6 linked regions of the Oryctolagus cuniculus genome follow. The protein of the gene in region 5 purifies or fractionates together with the protein of the main gene of each other region. This does not show direct contact. Links are inferred from orthologs where the notes say so. Each region holds a gene or a part of one and is shown on either strand. Other genes may lie near its edges.

Region 1 (5,328 bases), on a different chromosome or scaffold from region 5:
ACCTGCTACACCACAGTGCTGGCCCCTCCAATACCCTTTCAAATGATCAAATGGAGCAAAAACTTTAAACAAAAACACCTCAGTATGATTTTCCAGTATTCTCTTAAACTGCCATTTTCTGTGCTCTTATGGCGCAAATGCCATAAATGAATGAAGCTTGGTTGTGTCCCAAATAAAACTTAGTTTAGGTCACAGAAATGTCAATTTCATCAAATGTTCACATGCCACAAAATAGTCTTAAAAATACTTTTTAAAAACCCATTAAAAAAATGGAATATGCATTCTTAGCTTGAAGGCTGCACAAAAATAGATGGCAGGTAGGATTTGGTCGTAGGGCCATAGCTTGCTGACCTCAGCATTACCTCACCGGGTTGATGGGAGTTTCCTGTTTGATCAGATACACTTGCGATTCTACTGTCAAGTGAACTGGAAAGAGTTTTCTCACAGGCCTTGCTTGGCACCCAACACTTTGTACCACCCCGCAGGCCTGGAGAGGAGGGAGTTCTATTCCATGTTCCTATGGCTAGGGGCAGCCCTTACATGCTTAGACTGTAGACTTAAGAAGGGCTGTCACAGGCACAGGCAGCGACGTGAAGGGTTTGAGCCTCTTTATAGATGAAGCTGCTTGCAGCCTGTGAAGAGGCAGTGACAAGTGGTTGCAGTAATCGAGGGGAGAACGACAGTGGGCTGGCCTGGCTGGTGGAAATCATCTACTAAGCAGAGCAGACAGACTGGAGATGTATTTAGGCTTAGATGCTTGCCTGAATGAGCATCGATTAGCTCGTTCAATACCTGTCTCACCAGATAAAAGAAACGGATGACCTATCTAAATGTAGTTGGTACAATGCATCACGTCTTAGCCATGAATAAGCATTTTAAAAAATTGCAGGATCCTTCCCCTGGTGGGAGTTCTGGCGTGCAGAGGCCAGCTGTTTCGGCCTTTGCTGACGCCAGGCAAGGACACGTCCCTGCCTCTCGCTGGACACCTGGGAAAGGCATTGGCCCGTTACCTCCCCGCTGAGTCAAGTGTTTCCTGGTTCAGAGAGGAAGTGGCGTCATTCATGCCTCACTCCTGGCTTCCGGCTTTGATTTTGTAACCTCTGGCCTTTTTTGATCATTGGAATTGTATATCTAAGTCGGCTTGTGACCTGGCGAGGTGGTCACGGGGCTCTCCTGTCTGCCCGCCTGTTGACTGCTTGCTTTATCAATATTGGGGTTCCCAGTTGTGAGGCAGTGGCCGAGGGTGGCATCTGTGGGGAGAACCTGCCAGAGGCCTGCACGCAGGCCCGAGTCTGCCGGTGAACCGCTCTCCCTGCTGAGAAGCCAAACGCCGCTCCTCTGTGTGACTGGCGGCTGAGCCCTCAACTTGCCCTTGACCTCCACGAAGAACTGCGCGCCGTGAGGCTCCCTCCTTGCCGAAGTTCGGATATGAGTTCGTTTTCCTTTGCCAAGGGACCTGCTGGTGATTGGGAAATGCCTGTGTCTGGGGTTAACAATGGTTTCTAAGTGAATAAACGGGCCATTTAATTCTGTAACAAAAAATTAAAAAAAAAAAATTGCAGGAGCCTATTAATTTGTTTGATTCACTGGTTGACCCTACACAAAGTGGAGTACAATTTTATTCAACAAATGTTGGTTGAAAATGCTTTTTTTATGGAAAATCTTTAAAAATCCGTAAATTCACTGCAGTGCAAGGTCAGGAATTACTGCTCGTTGACACTTTATCCTATTTCCATACTTTATCCCATTTCCAGCCTCTTTCCTGAGCCCCTTCCCGCCCCAGGTTCCCACCGCGCCTCGGCGCCTGGTCACACCCCTGGGCCCGCCCCCCGACGCCTGGCTCTCCCGCTCCCTCCGCCCACCCTGCAAGCTCCGCCCCCTGGAGTCCCGCAACCCAACTCCTGCCCTCCTTCCGTCGCTTTCCGCCCAACCCCGCCCCCATGGCCACCTTCGATTGGCTAAACTGGCGGAGCCGCGGCGGGGATGCAGCGAAGCCGCATTATGATTGGCTGAAAGGTAGGCCTCCCTCCTCGTGATTGGCTGCTAAGGGGAGCCAGCAAGTGTGGCTGAGCTCTCGGGTGTGTGGACGCCGCTTTGTTGCCGGAGGGGGGTGGCGGTGGAAGTTAAGGGGGTCGGGGGCCAGCGCGTGTGGCGGCCGCTGTAGTCACTTCGCCCGGCACCTTTTCGCCCAGGAATCAAGCCGACGGCAGCCATGAGCGGCGGCGTGTACGGGGGAGGTGAGTGAAGGCGGCCCGGCCAGAGAGCGCGCCTTTTTGGCGTGTGGGGTTTGTAACCGCCGCCCCCAGCCCTCCCCTACCCGGCGGTCCCTTCCGGTCTCCCCCTCTCGGGACCCCGGCCTCCCCGCCCCATCCCCGCCCCGCGCTCTGCCCGCCCCCGGAGCCCACCCGGCTCAGCGTGCGCCTCGGGCGCCGGAGGAGCTGGGCTTTTGGGGTCGCGCGTGCTGCTTCCAGCGGGCCGGCCCGCGGCGCCCCGGCTGGAGTGTCTCGCCTCGGGGTGGCAGCCCCGCGTGTGTCTGCAAAATTCGCCCGTGTGGGGCTTGCGTCTGCGTTTAACCTGGGAGGCCCCCAGCAGTTGGCGAGCGCGGACGGAGGGTGTCCGCAACGTCCCATAGAAGGCAGAGCGGCCGCGAGAGGTGGACCGAGGGGAGAGGGGGCGGCCGCCTCGGTCTGCGCCCTGCGCTCGCGCTGCCTCACGTTCCTCAGCAGCTCCTGCCCATTCTTGACCGTGGAGTCTGCGGAGTTACTCGTGGGAGGGCCTGGTTGGGATGAATCTAGAGACACATGCAATTTAAGGACGCCCGGAAGCTTTGCCTGAGGTCCCGGGCGTCTGTTCTCTGGCTTTTCTTGAGTAGACTGTGTTGTGGTACAAAGATTACCACGGGCTGTGGGCATCGTCAAACTTCTCAGCGCCTTGGCCTTGGGCAGTTTACTTTCCCCGACTTTGCGCCGCTCGCTCGTGGGATGGGAATTCCTTAGCCAACGAGGGTGGCTGCCAAGATGGACCGACATGAAGCTACACCTGCTGCTCCAATTGAAGTCCGTGGAGCGGCAATATCAGCATCACCTGCAAGCTGTTTAGAAAGAATCTCAAGGCCCACCCTCCGTTCTACAGAGTCAGGGCTTCCATTTTTGAAAGATGCCCCAGACAATTGGAGCACTCACTGTTGGATTCACATTTTGGGGTGTGTTTGAGTTAGAGACCCAAAAGACAAATCCGAAATACAGTCAGCCTTGAGTAACTGTGGGCTCCACATCTGTGGATCCCACTAACTGTGGACCAGAAGTATTCAGAAAAAATTGCATCTGTATTGAACATGTGCAGATTTTGTTTCTTGTTATTCCCTAAAGTATAACAGCTGTTTACATAGTGTTTACATTGTACTAGGGATTATAAGTAACATAGAGAACACCTACTTAAAGTATCCAGTAGTCTGTGCCACAGGTTATAGGCAAATGCTACATCGGTTTATATAGTCGACTTGAGTATCCAAGGATTTTGGTGTATGGGGGTAGGGTCCTGTAACCAATCCGCTGCAAACACTGAGGGACTATGTGCTTGCTACTGCTACTGTTTTAGTAAGGATTCTCTTTCTGAAGAGGATGGCATTCCGCAGGTAAAGGGATAGGTAACTTTTCTAAGTTCTTAGTATTTTTGGTGGTGTAGTTTCAGAGTCTTCTCTGAGGCAGCATGCTGAGCCTGTTGCCTCCTCCTTCCTATTTTGTGTCCTTGATTTTCTTATTTTTACTTTGGATCTTGTTAATTCACCTCTTCCCCATCTGAAGATTCAGTCTTGACTCCAGAGAAACTGAGTCTAGACTCTTAGGAGCTCCAGGTTCATTGAATCAAGGATCCGGAGGCTGTCCAGTATTCCTTACAAGGCATTGTTTAGTATGACTGGTAGGAATGGGATAATACTAATGCTAGCAGCTAGCATTTATTAGGTGCGTACTGGAGACCAAGAGTATTCCAAAGGTTTTATGTGCATTATTTTTAATCCATGCAGTAACTCCTATAATCTACAACCACCATGTAAGATGGTATTATTATCCCTGTGTTACTGAAGAAAATGATGTAAAGATAGGAAAGGTTAAAAATCAGCCCAAAGTCATAATTATCTAGGGAGTTGAGAGCAAAAATCTCTGAAATAAAGGGCATTTCAGCCAAGCCCTTCCCTACTCCTTTAAAAAAGCCATTTCTTTGGTTATTTCTCTGTGTGTCATGTTTCAGTTATACAACCATAGTATTACCATGTATGACTTAGGTGTTCAGAATAAAACCACTTCTTGCTAGCTTATTCAGAGGAGTGTAAGGATTATTCAGAAAGTTTATGGAAAATGGAGTTGAATGTTTATTTTAGTGTGAACATTTTTGGAATTTAATCAAGAAAGCTTATGAAAAAACATGGATTTCAAAAATTTTTGCACCAAAATACTTAGTTTTTAATTCATTTTCCATGAACTTTTTGAAGTACTCTGATGTTTTAAAGTCTTTCATGTAGAAAGTACTTAGAATTCACAAAAGTAAGTATGATTTTGTGTTTATAGTGGATCATATTTTTCCAAGGAATTTAGTGTTAAAAGCAACCAAACCATTCACTTAAAAATGTTGAGTAATTGGGCCGGTGCTGTGGCATAGTGAGTAAAGCCACCGCCTGCAGTGCCGGCATCCCATGTGGGTGCCGGTTCGAGTCCTGGCTGCTCCATTTCTGATCCAGCTCTCTGCTGTGGCCTGGGAAAGCAGGAGCTTCTTCCAGGTTTCTGACATGGGTGCAGGGGCCCAAGGACTTGGGCCATCTTCTACTGCTTTCTCAGGCCATAGCAGAGAGCTGGATAGGAAGTGGAGCAGCCGCGTCTCGAACCGGCACCCATATGGGATGCCGGCGCTTCAGGACAAGGTGTTAACCCGCTGCACCACCGTGCTGGCCCCCTTTATAAATTTTAAAATTTATGCTTGCCTCTAATTCTAATAATTATTTCCAAGCAAATCTAAAACTGACCTTCAGCTTTAGGTATAATGCATGATTCATCTGGATTTCCATCCTTTCTAAGTAGTTTCTGGGCCTACTTATTGCTCTTGCAATTATCTTCCATGGCACTTCTCTACTTTAAACTCCTTTGCATAACAAAAATAAATGTGTACTACCAGACCAACTTTGATAAATTGTTAGTTTCATCACTCTTGTACTATCCATCTCTCTCCATCCCCCCTACCCCGCCAATCTCTAACCTTAAGAATTTCTCAAAGTTGTCTTCCTTGTGAGTTGGCCACCAATCATGGGGCACTCTGATCCAAACAAAAATAAAACTA
Region 2 (5,221 bases), on a different chromosome or scaffold from region 5:
ACACCGGGTTCTAGTCCCGGTCGAGGCGCCGGATTCTGTCCCGGTTGCCCCTCTTCCAGGCCAGCTCTCTGCTGTGGCCAGGGAGTGCAGTGGAGGATGGCCCAGGTGCTTGGGCCCTGCACCCCATGGGAGACCAGGAAAAGCACCTGGCTCCTGGCTCCTGCCATTGGATCAGCGCAGTGCGCCGGCCGCAGTGCGCCGGCCGCGGCGGCCATTGGAGGGTGAACCAACGGCAAAAAAAAAGGAAGACCTTTCTCTCTGTCTCTCTCTCTCTCACTGTCCACTCTGCCTGTCAAAAAAAAAAAAAAAAAGATTTATTTATTTATTTGAAAGGCAGAGTTACAGAGAGAGAGAGGTCTTCCATCCGCTGGTTCACTCCCCAACTGGCCAAAATGGCTGGAGCTGCACCGATCCGAAGCCAGAGCCTGGAGCTTCTTCTGGGTCTCCCACGCAGGTGCAGGGGCCCAAGGACTTGGGCCATCTTCCACTGCTTTCCCAGGCCACAGCAGAGGGCTGGATTGGAAGTGGGGCAGCCAAGATGCCAGCACTGTAGGCGGTAGCTTTACCTGCTATGCCACAGCCCCGGCCCCCTGCTGTTTTTAAATTTAAACTTTTCATTGAAACACATACAGAGAAATGCACAGGTCTCGTGTTGCCGGTTACAAAGAGAACAGGGGGGATGTATAACAGTCCTCGCCCCCCAGTGCCAGCTCCTGTCCCCTCTCCTGCCCTCTCGCGATAATGAGTCTGTTGTGTAACTTGACGTAAATGAGCCCGTACAGTGTGTTCTCGTGCATCTGGCCTCTCTGGATCGATATTAAGTGCTGGAGATTCGTTCGTGATGTGGTAATCCCTCGTTCTCATAGAGGGAGGGGCTTGCTGGATCATAGGGCAGGTGCACTCGGATGCTTAGTGCTGGCGAACTTTCGCAAACTATGCATTCAATTTTACTTGAAAGGCGGAGAGGGGGAGGACAGAGAGACAGAGATCTTCCATCGCTGGTTCACGTCCCGGGTGCCGGCCACAGCCCGGGCTGGCAAGCAGCAGCCCAGGACCCAGGCCAGATCTGCCCTGTGGGTGGCAGGGACCCAAGCGAGCTCTTCTAACCTCCTAGGGTGCAGGAGGTTAGCATGGGGAGCTCTGACCCCCGGGGCCCCGCAGTCCTCTGGGTAACAGGATCGTGCCGGCTTCCCTTCCACACTGCGACACCACTCAAACTCAGGTGCGGTGCAGGGTAAGCAACGGCCAGTTCCTCTCGACTCCGACCAGGCAGGCACCGTCCTGAATCGCAGGGACGGAAGACACGGCCTCACTCGGAAATGCTAACACGTGGGGGCAGGCCCCAGGCGCATCTTGGAACTGGCGCTGCGAGGGGCAAGGACGAAGCCTGGGGCGCTGGGCCGGGGGCGCCTGAGCGCGGGAGGCGGCCGGGGCAGGGTCTGGAAAAGCAGGGACCGATCAAGAAGCCCACCAGGACACAGAGCAGGTCTCTCAGTCTGCTGGGGTCGACCCTGGGCGACTCCGTCGGGAGCTGATTCCAGGGCTCCGCTGGGGCCCGAGTCGCCATTCAGCCGGGTGGAGGAGAGACCCGGCCGCCAGCTAGCACCGAGGCTGCCCGCGCTTAGGGGGCCGGAGGTGCGGCGCGCCCCTCTCACCTCCCGCCGCCCGCACCGCACCGCACCGCACCGCACCGCACCCGTGCGGTAAAAGCGTTAACCGAAGCCACAAAGGTCGGCGAGGAGCCAGGATACGTCCAGCCCGTCTCTGGGCCTCCCGGCTTCCGCCAGCCTCTGCCGTCTCGGTCCTGCACCGGCCCGAGCGCTCCCTCGCTGCGCTAAACCCGAAGGCCGGGCGCCCCCCGCCCAGAGGCCCGGAGCTCCTCGCTCCCCGGCGCGCACAGGCGGCGCGTGCGCAGAGACAGGGCGCGCGCGCGGCGGCGCGGTGGGCGGGGCACCGGCGCTCGCGAGCAGCCACGGCGCGTGCGCACAGGGACGCGGCACCCGGGGCCCCGCCGCGGCGCCGGCGCCTGCGCGCTGCGGGCTCCGGGCCCTCCCGGCCTGAGGGAGAGGAGCAGGGAAGATGGCGGCGGTGGTGGAGAATGTAGTGAAGCTGTGAGTGGTCGTTTCTTTCTCTCCCAGGCGGAGAGGTCTTGTGAGGGGCCTGGGAGTAGGGGGCGGTGCGGGAAGAGAGGAGGCGGCCGGGGGGACGGGCCCGGGAAGGCCGTGGTTGCCGCTCCGGGTGGGGAGTGCGACGCGGGGGGGGGGAGGACTCCGGAGAAGACGTTGCGCCTCTTTGGAAACTTGTGGAGGCCCTGGGCGGGGGGCACGCGGGAGCCCCTGCCCCGCGGCCGCTGTGCGGGGCTGTGTGGGAGCCGCCGCGGGGCCTGCAGGTCGCGGAGTGCGGCGCTCAGGCTGCGGCCCGGAGGAGCCGAGCCCAGGCCCCGGGGGGCCCCGGCGAGTCCCCGCCACGCGCGGCCGTTGGCCCGGAGCAGCAGGCTCGGCGGTCCCTGCGGGGCTGGGGTAGCAGGTGCGCAGGACGCAGGCAGCGCGGAGAAGAAGGGAGAGAAGTTGAGGGGGAGCGGGGCCCGAGCGGGCCAGGCCGGGGGGCGTCCTCCGGGCGACCCGGAGCCGTCGTGCGGGTCAGGGGTCGGGCAGAGCTAAATTGGGTGGTGGTCGGGGACCTGGGGGATGCTGCGGGACTTGGTGACACGAGCCAGCCGCCTGCCCCCCGAGGAAGAGTCCGGTGCGTTGGGAAGCGGGCTGGTGCCCGTGGGCGAGCCTGGGGTGGCCTTGTCGCCGCCGCGCGGACGCGTCTGGCCGTCCAGTTAGGGCTTTTTGGATTCTGGCTGGACGCCAAGGTCAGGTGCGGGGCGTGCTCTCTGGACCCCGCGTCTCCTCTTTGTGGTGGCCGAGCAGGTCGCCTCCCCCTGCCCGCGGCGCTTTCCCCGGTTCCATTAAGCTAAGTGCCTTCTCCCTGGCTTGTGGTTTGGTTTTTTTTTTCCTGACTTGCTTCTTGCTCTGTCCTGCTGCCCCTGGGAGCCAGCCCCCCGCCCGACGCGGTGGTTTCTGCGATCTGCCCACGCCGGTTCCCCAGCTCTGGGCTGGCGTTTCCCTCCCTCTGATGCCTTCCTGACTCGCGGGCTCTTTGTTTGCCCGCCGTGCTCTTTGTTGACCCCCCCCCCCCCGGGAGGGCCCACCTAGGCTCGGTTCCTGAAGCTTCTACCTGGGAAGCCTGTGCTGCGGCCTTGCCGGGTTCTGAGGGGGAGGATGCCCTTGGCCTTGGCAGCTCGGCTTCGCCCGCCGTCTGAGCCAGGGGGTCGGCCGCGTAGCTGCAGCCTGGCTTTTCAGGTCTCGGAAGAACCGGAGGGATTGTGAAGGTCATCAGCCGCCGACTCCGGGTGCCGACAGCGAGACCCCAGCTTCTCTGGGGGCCGGGACTGCTGCAGGCTTCCCTAGGAGGCTTCGCGCCCCTGCACCGAGATGCAGTCCCTGAGCCCCCGTCAAGGTCAGGGCCGCCCGCAGCTCGTCGGGGAGAGGGTGTTCTCTTTGTGAGTGCTCTGTCTCTACCGTGGTAGCAGAGTGGACGCCCCCTCTCGGGTCTCGCTGTGAGAGTACGGTGGTGCAAAACAGTGGTTTGGGAACTCTCTGAGTCAGGTACCAGAGCTGCAGGATAATTTACGTGAGATATCTTGCTACACGGCCTTGCGTTCCTAAGACCGATCTCTCGCTCTCCTCGTCAGATGCTTCCCACAGTGCCCACTGCGGTGTCCTTCCCAGCCCCGTTACCCCAAGACTGCCGCTTGCCCCGCTTCTGAAGTCCCCTAGGGTCCCCAGAGCTCGACAGAGCGTCTCACGCATCCCCGAGCCCTGCGGCCCGCGGACCCTTCTGTTCCCAGCGTCAGCGTCAGTCGCATCAGCAGAAACAGCCGCTGCACTGAGCCTTGTTTGTCCAGTTTCCTCTGCGTGGGGAGGACGTGGCTGCCTCCTCACGGCCAGCGATGGGAGCCAGCCCCGCTCAGGTCTCCAGCGCAGGGTCCTTGCCTGCATCCAGGCGGACTGTGCTTGGGCGATGCCGTCCCGCGATTGCCTGCTGGGGATGAGGGACGCTCCACTGTGCCGCTCACCGAAAGCCCCCATCCGATTGCAGAGCAGGGTTTGTTGGTGTAGCGCCAGAGGTGGGCATGAGCCCGGGAGACGTAGCGCGTGCAGCTCCTCACGCCCGGGGTTGCCTGCTCGTGGGTCCCTGGGATGTCAGAGCTCAGCGAGTGCAAGCTCCCGAAAATGCGGAAGAGACACTGAGGTCCATGCAGGGTTCGTGCAGGTTGACTAAGTGTCCGTGTTCGCGTGCTGACTTGGAGCCCGGCAAGGCCGTTTTATTCCCAAGTCCGGATTGACGGTGTTGCAGATGTTTTCATGGGTATTAGGGAGACTGGGGAGAGAAGTCACCTGTGCCCTCACTTTAAGAGGGATATATTGGCCGGCGCCGCGGCTCACTAGGCTAATCCTCTGCCTTGCGGTGCCGGCATACCGGGTTCTAGTCCTGGTCGGGGCGCCGGATTTTGTCCCGGTTGCCCCGCTTCCAGGCCAGCTCTCTGCTGTGGCCCGGGAGTGCAGTGGAGGATGGCCCAAGTGCTTGGGCCCTGCACCCCATGGGAGACCAGGAGAAGCACCTGGCTCCTGCCATCGGATCAGCGCGGTGCACCGGCCGCAGCGGCCATTGGAGGGTGAACCAACGGCAAAGGAAGACCTTTCTCTGTCTCTCTCTCACTGTCCACTCTGCCTGTCAAAAAAAAAAAAGGGGGGGGTATATTAACTAACTAGGGGTTACTAGTTCCCCCTGCATGACCAAATGGCTGGTTGAACCCTGGTTTCATGTACATACTTTTTAGAACCAGGTAACTCTTGGCACTGTGCAGTTTTCCAGTTCTTCAAAACACTGAAAGATTTGTCCTTAATTCAGATTTCAAATTGAATCTCTTTTTGGGTCAAAGCCGATTCCTGTATAATTTGGGTAGGAACAGGACCTCAGACTAAACAGGTTTCATGTCAGTAATGTTACTCAATGAAAGCTTCGAGGGGGGGTGGGTGTTTGGTACAACAGTTGACATGCCGCTTGGGACACACAGGTCCTGTATCCGAGTGCCAGGGCTCCAGTCCAGTTTTGCTCCTGTCCCAGCATTCTCGCTCTCGCACACCCTGGAAGGCAGCAGATGACGGCTCAA
Region 3 (4,690 bases), on a different chromosome or scaffold from region 5:
TTAGCCCATACCTAGCTGTTGTGGACATCTGGGAAGTTAAACCAATGGATGGAAGATTTTTTTTATCTCTCCCTCTCTGTAACTCTGCCTTTCAAATAAATAAATCTTTTTTTTTTTTTTTTTTTTTTTTTTTTTTTTTTTTTGACAGGCAGAGTGGACAGTGAGAGAGAGAGACAGAGAGAGAAAGGTCTTCCTTTGCCGTTGGTTCACCCTCCAATGGCCGCCGCTGCAGCCGGCGCACCGCGCTGATCCTGGCAGGAGCCAGGAGCCAGGTGCTTTTTCCTGGTCTCCCATGGGGTGCAGGGCCCAAGCACCTGGGCCATCCTCCACTGCACTCCCTGGCCATAGCAGAGAGCTGGCCTGGAAGAGGGGCAACCGGGACAGAATCCGGCGCCCCAACCGGGACTAGAACCCGGTGTGCCGGCGCCGCAAGGTGGAGGATTAGCCTATTGAGCCACGGCGCCGGCTTCAAATAAATAAATCTTTTAAGAAAAATCAAACAAATGGATCTTACTGAATTCTGATTCAAGTAAACAAATTTATGACATTTATGTGACAACTCAAAATCTGAATACACTAGATATTCATTACTAAGGAATATCCAGTGTATATTGTATTATCTTATTTTCATTTAAGAGCCAGACAGATAAAGCTCACATGCACTGGTTCATTCCCCAAATGCTGGCTACACCCAGGTGAAGGCAGAATAGGTGTCTGAATGTGACTGGCAGGCACCCAAGTACTTGAGCCGTCACTTGCTGTCACAAGGGTAAACATTAGCAGGGTGCTAGAATCTAGACTGGAGCTGGGACTCCAACTCACATACTCAAATATAGAATGTGGTTGTCTTAACTGCTACACCAGACACCAGTTTTGCCTTTTTTTTGTATTTGTGGAAAAATACACATAAAATTTACCATTTTAACTATTTTAATTGTACAGTTCAGCAGCATTATGTACTTCCATGCACCATCTATCTCCAGAATTTTCACTCATCTTGTGAAACTTAAACTATACACATTCAACAAAAACTCTTCATATTCCCCTCCCCGGCCAGTCTTGGCAACCTCTGGCCACCATTCCAATTTCTGTCTCCATGAATCAAAGTGCTCTATGTACCTCACATAAGCGGAATAATATAGTATTTGTTCTTTTGTGATGGGCTTATTTCACATAACAGATCCCCGAGGTTGATCCATGTTGAAGCATGGGTCAGAATTTCCTTCCGTTTCACAGCTGAATGTTGCCTTCAATGTAAATACTACACTCATCTGCCAATGGATGCTTGGGTTTCTTCCATTCCTGGACAACTGTGAATAATGCTATTATGAAGATGGGTGTTGGGCCAGCGCCGCGGCTCCTTAGGCTAATCCTCCGCCTTGCGGCGCCAGCACACCGGGTTCTAGTCCCAGTCAGGGTGCCGGATTCTGTCCCGGTTGCCCCTCTTCCAGGCCAGCTCTCTGCTGTGGCCCGGGAGTGCAGTGGAGGATGGCCCAAGTACTTGAGCCCTGCACCCCATGGGAGACCAGGAGAAGCACCTGGCTCCTGGCTTCAGATCGGCGCGGTGCGCCGGCCGGCTGTGGCGGCCATTGGAGGGTGAACCAACGGCAAAAGGAAGACCTTTCTCTCTGTCTCTCTCTCTCTCTCTCACTGTCCACTCTGCCTGTCAAAACAAAACAAAAAAAAACAAAACAAAACAAAAAAAAGAAGATGGGTGTTTAAATAAACCTTTAAAATCTTACTTTCCATTCTTTTGTGTATATACATAGCAGGTGGAATTGCTACATCTTTTTGATGAACCTGCCATACTGTTTTCCACTGCAGTTACACCACTTTACATTGCCACCAATAAAGGGCTTAAGTTTCTTCACATCTTCACCAACACTCATTATTTTCTGGTTTCTTGGTAGTAGCCATCCAGCTTGGCATGAGGCGGTATCATCATGCTCTTGATTTGAATTTTCCTAATAACTGGTGATTTTGAGCATCTTCTTATGTATCTTCTTTGGTTAAATGTCTATTCAACTGCTTTGCCATTTTTAAAAATGGGGTCGTTGTTGTTGAGTTGTAGTTTTAAATATATATTCTGAAAATTAACCTCTTATAGAAATCTGGGGAGCCCTTGTGATGGGACCTGAAAATTAGTATGTTTTTTAAACTTCCCAAGTTTCGAGTACTGTTTTCTTAGGAGACAAAGTAGTAAGTATGTTTAAGTTAATTATCATTAGGATCCATGGGTAATTCATCATCTCAGAACAAAGTACAGAGTCTCCTTCTACCTGATTATGTATTCATCCAGTCCGGTAGAGTCCTTTTTTGTCGCAGGGTACCAGACTCGATTTTCTGACTCTATTCTTTCCTCCTTGCACAGACAGAAATGAAGAAAAAAATATCAACACATCAATACTCTATTTTTAACAATTATTAAAATTATATATGCCTTATTGTCATCCCTTTTCTTTCTGCCTTTCTGTAGAAAGTAACTTTCGACTTCTTAGTGGCTTATGGACTCACAGCATTCTCATTGCCTGAGCATGACTGTTATATATGGTAAGGGGCTCAGCCTGTGCCCGCTCAGACAGTGGTAGTCCATTTTTCATCTTTGTAGCACTACCCCTGAAAATATCCTTCCTTTCTGGTATCAAGAGGATGAGGCAGACCCATCTCTGAATCTTCTTGTCTCAAGAAATTAAATCAGTAGTAGGCGTGTAGCCTAACAGTTAAGATGCTGGTTAACATGTGCACATCACAGGGGCCTGTGTCACAGCAGGTTAAGCTGCTGTCTACAGTGCTGGCATCCCATATGAGTGCATTTATTTGAGTCCCAGATGCTCCGCTTCCAATCCAGCTCCCTACTAATGCACCTGGGAAGACAGTGGAAGATGGCCCAAGTCCTTGGGCCCCTGCCACCGGCATGGGAGACTCAGATGGAGTTCCTGGCTTCAGCCTGGCCCAGCCCCAGCCGCTGCAGCCATCTGGGGAGTGAACCAGCAGATGGAAGATTTGTTTCTCCCTGTCTCTCAGTAATGTTGTATTTCAAATAAATAAATCTTTAAAAGAAAAGAAAAAGATGCTCATGTCCTCTATCAGGGTGCCTGGGTTCCACTCCTGGCTCCTAGTTCAGCTTCCTGCTAATTCAGACCCTGGAAGGAAGTGGTGATGGCTCAAGGAATTGGTTTCCTACCACCCATGTGGGAGATCTGGATTGTATCTTGGCTCCAGGCCAGGGTCATTGCAGGCATTTGGGGGAGTGAACCAGCAATTCTGAAATGTCTGCCCCTCTCAGCCTCTCAAATAAATAAAAAAAAAAAAAAAAAAAAAAAAAAAAAAAAGAAATCAGCTACCCTCCAAGGACTCCTAACTTTTTTAATGGTAAGTATATTTAGGTACCAATATCTGGGTACTGGGGATATGCATGAGTGCTAGTAGAGGAGTGAAAGTACTGGACCTCACTTGGTGAGAGCTGGAAACTTTTTAAAGATAAAAGTTGACACTGATCTTTCCAATGGAACATACTACTGCTGCACCCTGCTGGTCTGCAGACTCAGCGACCACGCTGACGATCCTTCCCAGTATCTTCCTTTTATAAACGAATAAACAGATTACAAGAGAATTATGTAGATTACCCAAAAATTACACTGCAATGAAATGTGGTGGGAACTGGGATTGAAGACTAGCTCTGTTATCATTCACGGAGCCCCTACAGGTAACCCCACGCGGTGCTGTCTCAGCCTTGTCAGAAATACAAAAACTCAGTCACTTGCCAAAGCCCTGCCACCGCGCTGCCCCACTGAGGACTCCCAAGGCAAGGTCTTCCAAGCCTTGGGCGGCATGAGGAGAGGAAACACTACCCCGGTTTTCTTTCTCCCTGCAGGATTCGGGAGTGAGAATGACAAGGAGAGCCCTCCATGAGAAGGGCCTGAAGCCTGAGCCCCTCAGGAGGCTCCTGCCCCGGCGGGGCCTGCGGACAAACGCTCGGCCCACTTCGGTGCCCGATACCCGAGCTCCCGGGGGAGGAAGCAAGGCCCCCAGGGCGCCAAGGACGATCCCCCAGGGGAAAGGGAGGTGAGCGGGCTCCCCAGGCAAGCAGAGGCCCCAAGATCCGGCCACCTGCCATGCCCCAGGGCGGAACGGGCCTTCGGCTCCACACCCACCGCGGGAACGCCCCGGGCGAGCGGCTCTGCGGCTGCCTAGAACCCACTACGGTCACAGCACCCACCCCGCTCGCCACTGGCTCTCGCAGACAGCAGGCCCGCCGGCGCCCGCAAAGTGTGGGAAGGCCTCGGAGACGAACTCGGACCACACCCTGACTGCCTCGCTGCGAGGTTTCCCGCGCCTCCAGCGCAGGGGAGCAGGGACACCAGGCTGCCTTGCCCACCGCAAGCGCTGAGGATGCGCGCCGTGCCGCAGCGTCCTCCACCCGCGCGAGAGGGCCGAGTCCTGTCAGCGCAACACCACAGGGTCCGCACTGGCGGAAGGTTTCCACAGCGCAAGGGTGCAGAAAATGCTGACCTCGAGCTGCCTGCATCACCTCACGACACCGACAAGGCCTTTGCGGACGCCCAGGCATGCGTCGAGGCCTGCGCATGCGTCGAGGTCCGCGCGTGCGTCTAGGCCCGCGCATGCGCGAGGCCCCGTGCGGCGTGTCTCCGTAGCCCCTTCGCAGGTGGGCCTCGCTAATAGGCGTGTG
Region 4 (4,690 bases), on a different chromosome or scaffold from region 5:
CTATGAAGGCCCGGGGGTAAGTGGCCGCGGCTGGTGGTGGCAGCCAGGGGAAGGGGAGGGGGACGAGGGCCTGGGAGGTGGGGTTGGGGGGTGAGAGGAAGGCTCCAGCCTGTCCCCAGGAGGTCCCTGCTGGGAGGAGGGCCACGTGGAGTAGAGGCGGGACAGTGGCTGCCAGGCCACGCGGGCTGCACAGGCGAGAGCAGAGGTGAGGACTCTGGGCCAAGGTGGGCGAGGCCGGCCCCAGTCAGTCCCAGAGCAGCAGCCGAGGGCCCACAGGGCAGTGTGGGAGTCGTGGCAGGTGCCCGCTCTGGGGCTCCCAGGGACCGAGGCCTCCTACTCCCCCACCCCACCGGCTGTGGCCTTGATGGTGGCTGTGATGTTAACTTTCCAGTGGCACAATGTTTAAATCCAGAAACACAGCAGCAAGGGGGCCGCGTCTGTAAGCCAGCGACAGTGACACTTCCGCAGGGCTGCCGCTGGCCATCCTCCATCGTCGCTCTCACTCCTTCCTGGCTGTGAGGCCCCCATGGGTTCTGAGTGCGGCCACGCCTGGGGGCAGTGCATTGCAGAACCGGTCCTAGGCGCTCTGCTCGCACTGGGAGCCCCGAGGGCACAGCGCCCTGCCTGGCCTGCAGTCGGCTGGGAGTCGCTCCCCTGTCCCCCTGCCCTGTCCCGCTCGCCTCTCCCTCTGCTGCTGTGCCACATAGTCTCCGCCCGCCTCCTTGGGTGGCGATGATGACAGTGGGGTAGCAGAGGACGCTTCGTATGCACCTGCTCGGGGCTGGGCACCACAGCCTGCCATGTGGGTTGATTTGGAATCTTTTTTGTTTTATTACATCAAACTGGTTTTACATTTTTAATTTATTTTCATTCTTTTTATCTGAAAGATAGAGAGAGAAGCAGAGAGAAAGAGAAATCTTTCATTGGCTGGTTCACTCCCCAAATGTTCACAACAGTCAGAGCTGGGCCAGGCTGAAGCCAGGAGCCCAGAACGTGGGACGTGGCTGGCAGGGACCCAAGTACTTGGGCTGTCACCTGCTGCCTCCCAGGGTGCACATTAGCAGGGAGCTGGGTTGGACGCAGAGTAACCAGGCGCTCCCATATGGGATTTGGGTGTCCCAAGTGGCAACTTAAGCCACCATGTAAAACGCCCACCCAGAACTTGAGATTCACGTCCCACAAGCAGACACCACTGCGGAGCTTTGCATGATATACATTCTTTTTATTTTTTAAAGATTTATTTATTTATTTATTTGAGAGGCAGAGAGAGAGGTCTTCCATCCACTGGTTCAGTCTCTCAAATGGCTGCATCAGCCAGGGCCGGGCCCTGCCAAAGGCAGGAACACAGAACTCCATCCGGGTCTCCCACGCGGGTCTGACGCCTTCCCAGGCCACTAGCAGGGAACTGGGTCAGAAGCAGAGCAGCCGGGATTGGAGCTGGCACTGGGATGTGCATCCCAGGCGGTGGCTTAACCTGTCCCCGAGCACCAGCCCCGCTGCCCGAGTTCATACACGCGTGCGATGTCACACACAGTGCACGCTGGAAACGTCATAGCTCCTCGGACCGCTGTGGGGCCAGGCGTGCATCAGAGCTGGAATCACTGAGATTCTGGACAGGGGCTGCGGTGCGTGTGCGTGTGCCACGGTCAGACGTAGGAAGAGGCACGTGACTCGGGCACGCCGTGAGGCCGGTGGGTTCCAGGGTTCTTCTGGGATTTGGAATCCCAGATGCGTGGTGCGGGCTGGTACAGCTTAGCAAAAAAACCTGATTTTTTTTTTTTTTAAACCTTTGAGAGGTGCCATAGGGAAACGCAGGCCAGGGCAAGCGGCAGCCAGGCCGGAATGTTCCGGAAACAGCCGCTCTGCCGCCCGGGCATCCCGCCCTGCGGCCCCGGCTGAGCTCCACCCCTTGCTAACCTCCCTCCTTCCTTCCTACCCTCCCCGGCCTCAGCTCCACGTGCAAGAAGCCTCCGGTAACCACCTGAACCCGGAGCCCAGCCAGCCGGCCCCCAGCGTGGACCTGGACTTCCTGGAAGATGACATCCTGGGCTCGCCCGCCGCGGGGGGCGGGGCGGCGGGCGGCGGGGGCGCCGACCAGCCCTGCGACATCCTCCAGCAGAGCCTCCAGGAGGCCAACATCACGGAGCAGACGCTGGAGGCCGAGGCCGAGCTGGACCTGGGCCCCTTTCAGCTGCCCACGCTGCAGCCGGCGGACGGTGGGGCAGGCCCAGCGGGGGCCGCCGGCGCTGCAGCCGTGGCCGCGGGGCCCCAGGCCCTGTTCCCCGGCGGCGCAGACCTGCTGGGGCTGCAGGCCCCGCCCACCGTGCTGACGCACCAGGCCCTGGTGCCGCCCCAGGACGTGGTCAACAAGGCCCTGAGCGTCCAGCCCTTCCTGCAGCCCGTGGGCCTGGGCAACGTGACCCTGCAGCCCATCCCGGGCCTCCAGGGCCTGCCCAACGGCAGCCCCGGGGGTGCCACGGCGGCCACGCTCGGCCTGGCGCCCATCCAGGTGGTCGGCCAGCCGGTCATGGCGCTCAACCCGCCCGCCTCTCAGCTCCTGGCCAAGCAGGTGCCTGTCAGCGGCTACCTGGCCTCGGCGGCCGGCCCCTCGGAGCCGGTGACCTTGGCCTCAGCCGGCGTCTCCCCGCAGGGGGCCGGCCTGGTCATCCAGAAGAGCCTCCCGGCCGCCGTGGCCACCACGCTCAACGGGAACTCCGTGTTTGCGGGCGCGGGCGCGGGCGCCGCCACGGCCGCAGCCGGCGGGGCGCCCTCGGGACAGCCGCTGGCGGTGGCCCCGGGCCTCGGCGCGGCGCCACTGGTCCCGGCACCCAACGTCATCCTGCACCGCACACCCACGCCCATCCAGCCCAAGCCGGCCGGGGTCTTGCCCCCCAAGCTCTACCAGCTGACGCCCAAGCCCTTCGCGCCCGCCGGTGCCACGCTCACCATCCAGGGCGAGCCGGGCGCGCTGCCGCCGCAGCCCAAGGCGCCACAGAACCTGACCTTCATGGCGGCGGGCAAAGCTGGCCAGAACGTGGTGCTGTCCGGCTTCCCCGCGCCGGCCCTGCAGGCCAGCGTGTTCAAGCAACCGCCCGCCACCACGACCGGGGCGGCGCTGCCGCAGCCGCCGGGGGCGCTGAGCAAACCCATGAGCGTGCACCTCCTGAACCAGGGCAGCAGCATCGTCATCCCCGCACAGCACATGCTGCCCGGCCAGAACCAGTTCCTGCTGCCGGGCGCCCCCGCCGCCGTGCAGCTCCCGCAGCCCCTCTCCGCCCTGCCGGCCAACGTGGGCGGGCAGATCCTGGCGGCGGCCGCAGCGCCTCACGCGGGCGGACAGCTCATCGCCAACCCCATCCTCACCAACCAGAACCTGGCGGCCCCGCTGAGCCTGGGCCCCGTGCTGGCCCCGCCCTCGGGCGCGCACAGCGCCGCACACATCCTCTCGGCCGCACCCATCCAGGTGGGGCAGCCCGCGCTCTTCCAGATGCCCGTGTCGCTGGCGGCGGGCAGCCTGCCTACGCAGAGTCAGCCGGCGGCCGCGGGGCCCACCGCCACCACCGTCCTGCAGGGCGTCACCCTGCCCCCCAGCGCCGTGGCCATGCTCAACGCCGCCGATGGGCTGGTGCAGCCCGCCACACCTGCTGCCGCCGCCTCCGGGGAGGCCACCCCAGTCCTCACGGTGCAGCCCGCACCGCCAGCACCGCCCGCAGCCAGCACGCCGCTGCCCCTGGGCCTCCAGCAGCCGCAGGTGCAGCAGTCCCCGCAGGCCACGGCCCCTGCGGCCACCGCCCCGCCTCAGGCCAGCACGCCCCAGCCCAGCCCGGGCCTGGCGTCCAGCCCGGAGAAGATGGTCCTCGGGCAGCCGCCACCTGTAGCCACCACAGCCATCCTCACTCAGGACTCCGTGCAGATGTTCCTGCCCCAGGTACTCGGGGCCCGGGCGAGGGTGAGGGGTGTTGGGAACTGGGAGACCCCAGAGCTGAGAGAGGCTGGCCAGGGTCTGGTGGGGTGGGGCTGACACGTGGCCACCCCTGGCTGAGCTGGACAGACCGCGGGCTGACAGCCACGGGGAGGGATGGGCTGACAGGCGGGGAGGGGTCTCGGAGTGCACAGCAAATGACTGAGTGAACGTGATGGCCAGGTCAGGAAAGCAGGAGGGCCAGGCGGGCTAGGGGTGGGACCAGCCAGCCGGGTCCCGCTGCTGCGCCCGCCACCCCCTGCTCTGCAGCCCTGGGGCAGGGGCGGTGTGGACGGGGTCCCCGGGCGTGGCCTTCTGACCCCTGTGCGGGCTGCCCCGTTGCAGGAGAGGAGCCAGCAGCCTCTCTCCACAGAGGGCCCCCACCTCTCCGTGCCCGCCTCGGTCATAGTCAGCGCCCCGCCTCCTGCCCAAGACCCAGCCCCGGCCACCCCCGTCGCCAAAGGAGCTGGCCTCGGCCCTCAGGCCCCCGACAGCCAGGCTTCCCCGGTGCCGGCCCCCCAGGTAGAGGAACCCCAGCAGCCTCTGTCCTCAGCTCAGCCCCCAGCCTCGCCCCCTTACCCCCTCACTGCTGTCCGCCTCCTCGCGCCCGGCCTGCCTGCCTCTGTCTCGCTGACCTGGGGAAAGGTGCTGTCGTCTCCTACTGCCACCCCCACCCCGCACTGCCTGTGTCTCCTCGCCCCCGGCAGGCAGGGGGAGGGCTCCACACGC
Region 5 (4,690 bases):
GGGTGGGAGTTGCTGGGAACGGAGCAGTGCTCTCTGGTCGCAGGACGCCCGGCTGCTGCTCACAGCCCCTGTGAGAGGGACGCTCTGTGCCCTGCGCTGAGAGACAATGGTTCTTTGTATCTGGCTCCTACAGCTCTGGCCCTCACGGGGGTCGAATGGAGAACCTTATTGTCCTGGGATCTGATTTGTTGTTTACCTTCCTCCTGGTGCTGCTGACCGTTGGATTTAGCAGTATCTGCAGATGGTTCTGTTGTGTGGGTTTGTTTTTTGTTTTTTGGGTTTTTTTTTTTTTGTACTTAGCATTGGAAGCCATGTTTCCTCTGAGTCCCGAGGTCCTTGATCCCCACTGTGGCCCCCCTCCATCTTCCCGACTCTGATTGGAGACACCCCGCGGGGTAGATTTCCCTGGCAGCCTCTCGGTTGCTTCCCGGGGAGCATCAGCTAGCAGCCCCCAGACCGCCCACCCCAGCAGCTCCTTGGGAGAAGCTCACCTTTCTTCTCACTCCCCTCCGAGCTGCTGGCTGGCTATTTTTAGCTGCTCGCAGGCAAGCTAATTTGAATGCACTTTCGATGGAGAGTCAGGGCTTAGAGCCTCCGTCTTGTGTACGTAGGTCCAGCCCAGCTGCTGGTGGTGTCATTGTGTCCACATACAGCTGATTCCCTTTCCCTCTAAGTCGGGCTTTTCTCTGTTCTTACTCACTGTGCTACGTGCAGGGGTTCGTCTGAACTTTCCCCAGGGGTGAGTCAGTGTGACAGGCTGTTGCTTCAGGGTGTCTGTTGCTACCATGTCTGGTGTAATACCCATGAATGCCTACCTTCCCATCTCCTAAGATACTCAGAAAACATTTTTGAGTTGTGTGTGTTGTTTTTTTTTTTTTTTTTCGGTTGTTGTGGGTTCCTTTTTGGTAGGACTTTGTCTTGGGGAGCTTCTTCTGCCCTTTATTCTAACTTCAGCTTTTCCTCTCTTTCTCCAGTCAGCCTTGTCCAAATATGACGCCACCAAACAAAAGAGGAAGTTCTCTTCCTTTTTCAAGTCCTTGGTGATCGAACTGGACAAAGATCTGTATGGGCCAGACAACCACCTGGTAGAAGTAAGTGGTTCCACCTGCTTTCTGTGACCTGGAGCCAGACCTTGAGGTCCCTGGAGAGGAGAAGGTGCAAAGGAGAGAGCTGCCCCAGGTGGCCAGGACCGCCGCTACAGTTTGCACAGTAGCCTCCAGGGGGCGCTAGCAGTCTTAGTTTGCACCCAGGTGCGCTTGTCACGTTACCGGCCCACCTTTCACGGGGAGGCCTCTCCTACAGGCCAGGCCTTCTCTGCATCTTGCCTGCTGACAATGGCGAGTCGTAGTGAATCCATACACCCTTCTTAATTTTCCCCTCGTAGCAGTTGCTGCGTTTAAAGTGACTGACTGAGAGGGTACTCGAACTTGCTGAGGTTGCCATCGTAGTTCTGGGGCTCCCTTTTGGTACCTGCTTCATTAAATTTGCATACAAAATCACCAGAACCCCCTTTTTTCACAATGGCGTATTGCATTGCCACGGTGTCCCTCAAACCTAACAGTATTCTTTGAGACGCAGTTAAAGGCAGAACGAGAGCCCAGCATGCCGAGTGAACCTAACCTGCTCCTTTCTTTGCCAGTGTAGCCGCAGCCCCTAAGAGACATGGGAAGGTCTTTGGCACCTAATGAGGGAAGTAAGTCGTAGACTCGGTAGAGATTCGTAAATACACGTCCTTTTATAGCATAGAGTGTAGTGGCTGTGGAACCAGACAGAGCGCAGGCTGCAGCCCTGTCACGTGCTGTTTGACCCAGGCAAGGTCCTTTCCTTCTTCCGGGCACTAGCTTTCTCGGCTGTCGAGTGGGTATGTCTTGTCTGGCTGTTGGGGAATGAAACGAGGTGATCCAGGTCCATGCCTTAGACTGCTCTGGCACATAGTAGGTACCGAGAGAACAATAGCTGGTGCTGTGTTACTGTTCACGTCTGTGGTGCCCACTTTGTGTGCCTAAAATTGCCGCTGGCACTTGTGGCCACTTTTCACGCAACCCCAAAGAGTCCCAATTAGAGGTGTGACCCACGTATGCACAGGAGCACGTCGTAGTCCCAAAGCCGTGTGCACTTTTAAAAATGCACCTCTCCAGCAGCCTCAGTGCCAGAGTTGAGCCGTCAGTCACTATAGCAGCTCTTCCCTCCCGCCCCTCCCAGCTCTTCCTCTGGGAGAGCACCCCCTGACACCTTCCTCTCTGTAGTGGCACAGGACCGCCACCACCCAGGAGACCGATGGCTTCCAGGTGAAGCGGCCTGGCGACGTGAATGTACGGTGTACGGTTCTGCTGATGCTGGATTATCAGGTACCCTGTGAGGTGGGAGGGACCCCGGCTTGCACAGCCATATCCTCTGAGCCCCCGACTTTGAAGGGCTTAAGTTTGAGCGTGAAAACATTTGCACTTTAGTACAGGACTAGCGTCGTCGTCTCCGGGTTCCTCCGCGCGAGAGAGCACCACGTGGCTGTTAGATACTTGGACATGCCACCAAGTGTGTGCATGGGAGCCCCCTCCCCCACACGGTGCACCTAGGCCCGAGTTACCAGCTCTGTTCTCTCTACTCTCTGGTTTTCCACAGCCTCCCCAGTTTAAATTGGACCCTCGCCTGGCTCGGCTATTGGGCATCCACACCCAGACCCGTCCAGTGATCATCCAGGCACTGTGGCAGTATATCAAGACACACAAGCTCCAGGACCCGCACGAGCGGGAGTTTGTCATCTGTGACAAGTACCTCCAGCAGGTAAGGAGAGGAGCTGTTCTCTTGCTAGGATTCACCAGAGCTTTCAGTAATCTTAAAACGCCAACTTTGCAGCCAGTGTCATAGCGCAGTGCGTTAAAGCGCTGCCTGCAACCCCATATTTCCGTCTGGGTACCAGTTCCAATCTCAGCTGCTCTGCTTCCAACCCAGCTTCCTGCTAACGCGCCTGGGCAAGCAGCGGGAGATGGCCCAAGTGCTTGGCCCCTGTACTCATAAGGGAGACCCAGATGGATTTCCATTCTCCTGACTTTGGCCTGGCCCCACCCCCAGCCGTTGCAGACAGAGCTGAGCCAGCAGATACAAAGACCTTGCCTCTCTGTGCCTCTGCCTTCCAAGTAGATAAAAGAAATCTTCAAAAAAAAAAAAAAAAAAAAAAAAAAACCAACTTCTAGCAGCTTCTCCACTATCCCACAGATCTTTGAGTCTCAGCGTATGAAGTTTTCAGAGATCCCTCAGCGGCTCCACGCCTTGCTCATGCCACCGGAGCCCATCATCATTAACCATGTCATTAGGTAAGCGGTGTCCTACCAGCCTGCATGGGCCAGCTGTCAGCTGTTTGGGGGTTTTGAAGGCAGCTTGTTAAACAGAGCTGATGTTTAACATTAAGCTATATAAATACAATTGAACGCATTGACAGCAAGGGTAATGTATACTGCAAACTTGCACGTCCTAATTGACTATATTTTATTGGTGTTGTGCTCTCGGGTGTGTGTGCCTCTGTTGGGTCTGTGGTAGGAGTCCTGTGTGATGGTGTGTTAGTGCACATCCCTTCCTGATTCCCTGAGCACTGCTGTATCGTGGTAGCTGGAAGCCAGCCACGTTGAGGATGTTCAAGCCACAGGAACGAGCAGATGTGACGGGCCAGGTCCTTCCCCAGCCCTCCTTCGGGGGACCTCAGCATCTGTTGGCTCAGTGCTGATGGGAGGGATCAGCAGCCATTTCTCCTGGGTCCGTCCTAGGGCTTCCAGCTGGAGCTCGAACTCCATCCCTTCTGTTCACTTTTCTTGTTCCCAAGTTAGAGAGCGAGGCACTTCTAGGCAGATACGGAGTGAAGAAGAGTACTTCCTCCTCAGAGCAGCATTTCTCTGTAGTTAGACAGCGTCTCTCTGTAGTTAGACAGCGTCTCTCTGTAGTTATCGTCTTGCCTTCCTCGCTTTGCTGCAGATTCTATCCAGTCAGGGGCCTGAACCATCACTCACCTGGTAGCAGTTCCTATACCCTATAAGTTGGCACTGGAGCTGGTCTGTCCTGTATTCCCGTGCTTAAAGTTAGGGATGTGTGTGTGTGTACACATTATTTTCAGCGTCAAAGGTTGGGGCTGGCGCTGTGGCTAGGTGGATAAAGCTACCTCCTGTGACACCAGCATCTCATATGGACGCTGATTCGAGTCCCGGCTGCCCCACTTCCGATCCAGCTCCCTGCCAGTGTTCTGAGAAAGATGACCCAAGTGTTTGGGCCCCTGCTACCTATGTGGAGACCCAGGTGAAGCTCCTGGCTCCAGCCTAGCCCAGTGCTGGCTGTTGCAGTCATCTGAGGACTGAGCCAGCTGATAAAAGGTCTCTTTCTGTCTCCCTCCCTCTGTGACTCTAACTTTCAAAATAAATAAGAGGGTTTTTTTTTTTTTTTTTTTAAAGTTGTGTTTGTTTCAAAGGTGGAGTTACAGAGAACAGGGAGTGAGGGAGAGATGTCTTCCGTCTGCTGGTTCGTTCCCCAAATGGCCTCGCCAGCTGGAACTGGGTCAGTCTGAGGCCTGGAGCCAAGAGCTTCTTCCGGGTCTCCCACGTGGGTGGTACGGGGCCCAGGTTCTTGGGCCATCTTCTGCTCTCCCAGGCAGTAGCAGGGAACTGGATCAGAAGCAGAACAGCTGGGACTCAAACCAGCGCTCCTATGG
Region 6 (4,690 bases), on a different chromosome or scaffold from region 5:
TACACAGAGGACAGCTCTGTCGTGTAGCCCAGCTGGCACCAGATCGCAGTGCGGCAAAGCTGACGAGGGCCCAGGACAGGGCACCTCGACTCCGGCTTGTGCTGGACAGAGCACAAAGGGCACGGACGCTGGCGTCTGAGGGACTCAAGCTGACGCCCACTCTGCCAGTTGGCAGCGCCGCGATCCCGTCCAGGCCTCCACTTGCTCTCTGTCTCAGGGTGTCTGAGAGGTCACCCAGGCTCCACAGCGCCTGCGCCTCGCTCGAGCCGCATGCTTCCTCCTGCCTCTCCGGACGGGGTAGTCAGTCCTTCCTCAACACGCCCACGTGCAGGGCACTGGGTGTCTGCTGCAGAGGCTGGGATACCGGCATTCTACATCAGAGTGCCTGGGTTCCAGTCCTGGTTCTGGTTCTGAACCCAGCTTCCTGCTACTGAACACCCTCTTGACACCCATGTCGGGGTCCTGGATGGAGTTCCTGGCTGCTGGCTTCCTCCTGGCCCAGTCCCAGGTATTATAGGCATTTGGGGAGTGAATCCATGGATGGAAGTTTTCTTTTTTTTTTTTGTTTTAAGGATTTATTTTATTTGAAAGGCAGAATGACACAGAGGGCAAGACAGAGAGAGGAAGAAGTCTTCCATCTGCTGATTCACTCCCCAGATGGCCGCAACAACCAGGACCAGAGCAGGCCGAAGCCAGGAGCCAGGAGCTTCTTCCAGGTCTCACATGGGTGCAGGGGTCCAGGTACTTGGGCCATCTTCTGCTGCTTTCCCAAGTGCGTCAGTGGGAGCAGGACTGGAAGTGGGGCAGCCAGGACTGAAATGCACTGATCCGGGATGCTGGTGTCACAAGCAGTGGCCTAACCTGCAGTGCCACAACACTGGCCCCTTTCTGCTTTTCAAGTTGAAAAAAAAAAAAAAATGTTTTTGGCTGGTGCCGCGGCTCACTAGGCTAAATCCTCCGCCTTGCGGCGCTGGCACACCAGGTTCTAGTCCCGGTCGGGCGCCGGATTCTGTCCTGGTTGCCCCCCCTTCCAGGCCAGCTCTCTGCTGTGGCCTGGGAGTGCAGTGGAGGATGGCCCAAGTGCTTGGGCCCTGCACCCCGTGGGAGACCAGGAAAAGCACCTGGCTCCTGCCATCGGATCAGCGCAGTGCGCTGGCAGCAGCGTGCCAGCCACGGCGGCCATTGGAGGGTGAACCAACGGCAAAAGGAAGACCTTTCTCTCTGTCTCTCTCTCTCACTGTCCACTCTGCCTGTCAAAAAAAAAAAAAAGTTTTTGTAACTATGCCAAGCTGTTACCAAATGGCTTGATGGTGCCAGGCCGTGGGGTGCTCCCCTAACCCCTTCCTCCAAAGAAGACAATCGTGAAGGCAGACTCACCCTCGAGGATCTCCTGGCCCAGCGTGGGGGGCTGGGAGTCGTCTGTGCGGAAGTCCGAGGTGTGTGCTGGGCTCAGAGACTCGCTCTGCTGGGGGCTGGGGCTCGAGTTGGTGCTGCTGTCCACCTTCAGCTGGTAGACGTCAGACGCCGAACTCTGGTTGCTGTTTTCATCTGAAACCAAGCACAGCGAAGGCGACAGCTCGGGCAGCTGTCCTCAACAGGACTCAGGACACCCGGCGTCTCCACAGCACAGGGCTCCTGTGCCCTGCAGGCTGGCTGCAGGCTCCCGCGGATTCACTTCGGCATTTCTGTACCCCGAGCACAGAGGCAGCTGGAATCCTGATGCAACCTGCGCACTTCGGGAAGCTCGGGATCCTTCAGCACCCAGCTGCAGCCTGGACTGGGGTTTCTCACTGCCCAGGGCAGAGGTGCAGCTGCGCCTCTGGTCAGTACCTGCCCATCTCCCTCCTGCCACAGATGTGCAGGAAATGACCCATCTGTCTGGAGCTGGTACCTGCAGGGGCTCAGCTCAGGCCCTTCAAGCCAACTGCCCCCGGGGCCAAAGGACTGCCATCCGCCAGCTCTGTCTGACGGCCCAACACGACCACCTAAGATAACAACATAGAGCAAGCCCTGCCTCCAGCACCCAGGCACCAAGTGAGCTCCATGCTCCCGCCATGAAACCACTTGTGCTCACGCCTGGCTCTCCTGCAGCCCCGGCCTGGGCTGCAGCATCTCCGAGCAGGCCTGCTGGCCAGTCTCCGGTCTGGCCTGCCCCAGGGCTCACGGCTCCACACTGCTCCACTGCACAGATGGAGGGGCTTCCTGAGACTTCCCAGGATAAGCCCCACACGCCAGCACCTCTCGTGGCCTCCCCGCCTTTCTCCCCGCCTCACACTCCCCAGGCAGGAACAGCTTTCTCTTTCCAGTCTTCCTGGAGAGCCCTGCACGTTCCGACATCCAGCTCCAGCATCGCTCCCTGCGCGGGGCCCTGCCTCCCTGCTCCCCCGAGCTCCTGTCATACCCTGCGCACACCTGCGTCTTTCCACTGCACCCCGTGCGGGCAGGCTCGGACACGCCGTCCTTGGCTGCCCAGAGCACGCAGCACCTGCTCACTACTGGATGAAACCACACGGAGGAAACAGAGCCGCACATCTCCCAGAGCTTTGCGACTACTGAATGTCCCCCACACAGCTACAGAGCGGCCTCCCTCCCTTCTGGTCTCCCGAAGCTGCGGTGACCTTGCTGGGGCCAGGAGCACAGGTGTGGAGCGGGCAGCTGCAGCCCGGGTTCACCTGTCTCACGCTGGGCGCGCTCTAGTCTTGCTACTCCTGAGTCCATTATCGTCCACACCAGCGCGGAAGCAGCGTTCCGCAGGTCAAGGAGCTTCCCCACCTGGGCGTCTCAGCACTGTCTGGCTCACGGCTCAGGCTGACATTGGAATGAAAACAAGACGCTGGAGCGACAGCGCCACACGAGCAGTAACCGCCGCCTGACACGCGCAGGGCTTAGGCTGACGGCGGACTTGGCCGCTGCTCTAAGGCACTGCCATTAAACACTCAGCATACAGAAAGCACCTGTGATTCAGAAACCCGGGCCCTACGCAAGGCGGGGTCTGCACTTCCGATGATGTCACTTTAAGGACGTTCTCAATGGGACCCCGCCTCGCAGTCACGGGGGAGCGCTATGTGAAAGACCTAAGCGCCCAGCGGAACAGCAGCCACGGAAACGAGACGCACAGTAGCCATGGTCTCGGCAGGGACACCATCTACGTTGTCTGTTTCCTGCAAGGAAGATGGGGATGCGACTCACCCTGGAATTCCAGGAGGAGAGAGGAGTTGGCTGAGGCGTCAGAGGGAAAGCCGTTAGGTTCTCGGGCGGCAGAACTGTTCGATTTTGCCTTTTCTTTCTAGAAAAGGATAAAAAGAGGACTATGACAGAGCCAAGCAGGGGCCGCACGAGGAGGGAGAAGGGTGCTGTCTGCATCAGACTGAGCAGGGATGAGGGCGGGGCAGAGCCCAAGGACCCCAGGGGGACACTTTGGGGCGAGATACTCCGTGTCAAGCCTGTGTCTCCACCTGTGAGACGAACCCTTCTGCACGGATCTCAGCCATCAGAAGTGAGCGGCAGACACACACGCCTCCACCAGAGCCCCCCCACCCCCACCCCGCTCCGCTCATGCTCTCCTGCCCTGAGCAACACGCTCCAACCAACCCTTTCCTACGTGCATGGGCCAGAAACACTCAGGTGGGAGAGACGCCCGGTTCAGTAGCACCACAGGGAACAAGTGAGGGAACAGCACTCAGATTAGGCGGGACGAACCATCGCTGTGCGTGTGACGCGGGCAGACAGGACGGGGTGGCCCTGCCGGCTCCGCTGCTCACCACCAGCCTCATGCGTTCTGCCCCTGCCCTCCCTGTCATGTCACTGCTTTCAAGGAGGTTAAGTTATGGGTGTGGGGACCAGGATGGAGGGAAGCACTAGCTTGCAACCAGCAAGTCCAGGGCAAAGAAAAGAAGACAGTCAATCCAAGCATTCGCAGTTGAGAGCCTTCCAGAAGTGCAAAGGTCACAGCTGGGCAGCCCCGCACCGGCCAGTCCACACCTGTACAGTGGAGGAAGTGCGCTCAGACACGACTCAGCTTGGTTAAAAACTCAGTCCTAGCACCCTGTCACAAATCACCCCTGCCATGCAGTCATGGGTCTCCTTCCCGCATTTTCCACATGCGGATATTATTCTAATGTCATTGCAAACACGGAACCATTTTAGCACGTTCCATACACATGATTGTTACAGTTGCATAATGTTCCACAAACCATAATTCACTTAATTACTTCCCAAATATGGCACATTTACTTTTTAAAAAAATTTATTTATTTGAAAGGCAGAGTTAGAGAGAGGTAGAGAGGTACAGAGGTAGAAAGAGAGAAAGAGAGAGAAAGGGAAGGAAGGAGGGAGAGGGAGAGAGAAGTCTTTCATTCACGGGTTCACTCCCCAAATGGTCGGAGCTGGGCCAACCTGAAGCCAGGAGCTTCCTCCAGGTCTCCTACACAGGTGCAGGGGCCCAAGGACTTGGGCCATCTCCACTGCTTTCCCAGGCCACAGCAGAGAGCCGGATCGGAAGTGGAGCAGCCGGGACTAGAACTGGCGCCCACGTGGGATGCTGGCTCTGCAGGTGGTGGCTTTACCCGCTACCCCACAGTGCTGGCCCCAGTACATTTAAGACTGGGGAGAGGGCAGCATTATGGTGTTCCTGGCATCCCCGCATCGGAGCACTGGCACATCTCACCCTGACGGGATCACCGTCACTCGT

Evidence for each region.
Region 1: the proteins of SMARCD1 (region 5) and ACTL6A purify together in Homo sapiens (affinity purification with mass spectrometry; 8 studies listed by BioGRID and IntAct, with this or other methods). This does not show direct contact. The link is inferred for Oryctolagus cuniculus from reciprocal best matches to the Homo sapiens genes SMARCD1 and ACTL6A.
Region 2: the proteins of SMARCD1 (region 5) and DPF2 purify together in Homo sapiens (affinity purification with mass spectrometry; 9 studies listed by BioGRID and IntAct, counting the BioPlex papers as one, with this or other methods). This does not show direct contact. The link is inferred for Oryctolagus cuniculus from reciprocal best matches to the Homo sapiens genes SMARCD1 and DPF2.
Region 3: the proteins of SMARCD1 (region 5) and BCL7C purify together in Homo sapiens (affinity purification with mass spectrometry; 5 studies listed by BioGRID and IntAct, counting the BioPlex papers as one, with this or other methods). This does not show direct contact. The link is inferred for Oryctolagus cuniculus from reciprocal best matches to the Homo sapiens genes SMARCD1 and BCL7C.
Region 4: the proteins of SMARCD1 (region 5) and BICRA purify together in Homo sapiens (affinity purification with mass spectrometry; 5 studies listed by BioGRID and IntAct, counting the BioPlex papers as one, with this or other methods). This does not show direct contact. The link is inferred for Oryctolagus cuniculus from reciprocal best matches to the Homo sapiens genes SMARCD1 and BICRA.
Region 6: the proteins of SMARCD1 (region 5) and BCL7B purify together in Homo sapiens (affinity purification with mass spectrometry; 4 studies listed by BioGRID and IntAct, counting the BioPlex papers as one, with this or other methods). This does not show direct contact. The link is inferred for Oryctolagus cuniculus from reciprocal best matches to the Homo sapiens genes SMARCD1 and BCL7B.

The regions. Positions count from the first base shown.
Region 1 is NC_091435.1:100,246,503-100,251,830, reverse strand, and holds the start of ACTL6A (actin-like protein 6A), read left to right. Parts: upstream 1-2,026; 5' UTR 2,027-2,212; coding exon 2,213-2,237; intron 2,238-5,328.
Region 2 is NC_091432.1:6,292,048-6,297,268, reverse strand, and holds the start of DPF2 (zinc finger protein ubi-d4), read left to right. Parts: upstream 1-1,852; 5' UTR 1,853-2,079; coding exon of another isoform or gene 2,080-2,111; intron 2,112-5,125; 5' UTR 5,126-5,209; coding exon 5,210-5,221. UniProt on the Homo sapiens protein: Plays an active role in transcriptional regulation by binding modified histones H3 and H4. Is a negative regulator of myeloid differentiation of hematopoietic progenitor cells. Might also have a role in the development and maturation of lymphoid cells.
Region 3 is NC_091450.1:6,278,474-6,283,163, forward strand, and holds part of BCL7C (B-cell CLL/lymphoma 7 protein family member C), read left to right. Parts: intron 1-3,874; coding exon 3,875-4,069; 3' UTR 4,070-4,690. UniProt on the Homo sapiens protein: May play an anti-apoptotic role.
Region 4 is NC_091449.1:10,029,441-10,034,130, reverse strand, and holds part of BICRA (BRD4-interacting chromatin-remodeling complex-associated protein), read left to right. Parts: coding exon 1-16; intron 17-1,951; coding exon 1,952-3,928; intron 3,929-4,306; coding exon 4,307-4,483; intron 4,484-4,690. UniProt on the Homo sapiens protein: Component of SWI/SNF chromatin remodeling subcomplex GBAF that carries out key enzymatic activities, changing chromatin structure by altering DNA-histone contacts within a nucleosome in an ATP-dependent manner.
Region 5 is NC_091442.1:53,422,107-53,426,796, forward strand, and holds part of SMARCD1 (SWI/SNF-related matrix-associated actin-dependent regulator of chromatin subfamily D member 1), read left to right. Parts: intron 1-974; coding exon 975-1,091; intron 1,092-2,246; coding exon 2,247-2,348; intron 2,349-2,619; coding exon 2,620-2,781; intron 2,782-3,213; coding exon 3,214-3,311; intron 3,312-4,690. UniProt on the Homo sapiens protein: Involved in transcriptional activation and repression of select genes by chromatin remodeling (alteration of DNA-nucleosome topology).
Region 6 is NC_091450.1:50,488,425-50,493,114, reverse strand, and holds part of BCL7B (B-cell CLL/lymphoma 7 protein family member B), read right to left. Parts: exon of another isoform or gene 3,287-4,690; coding exon 3,190-3,286; exon of another isoform or gene 3,186-3,189; intron 1,549-3,185; coding exon 1,378-1,548; intron 1-1,377. UniProt on the Homo sapiens protein: Positive regulator of apoptosis. Plays a role in the Wnt signaling pathway, negatively regulating the expression of Wnt signaling components CTNNB1 and HMGA1.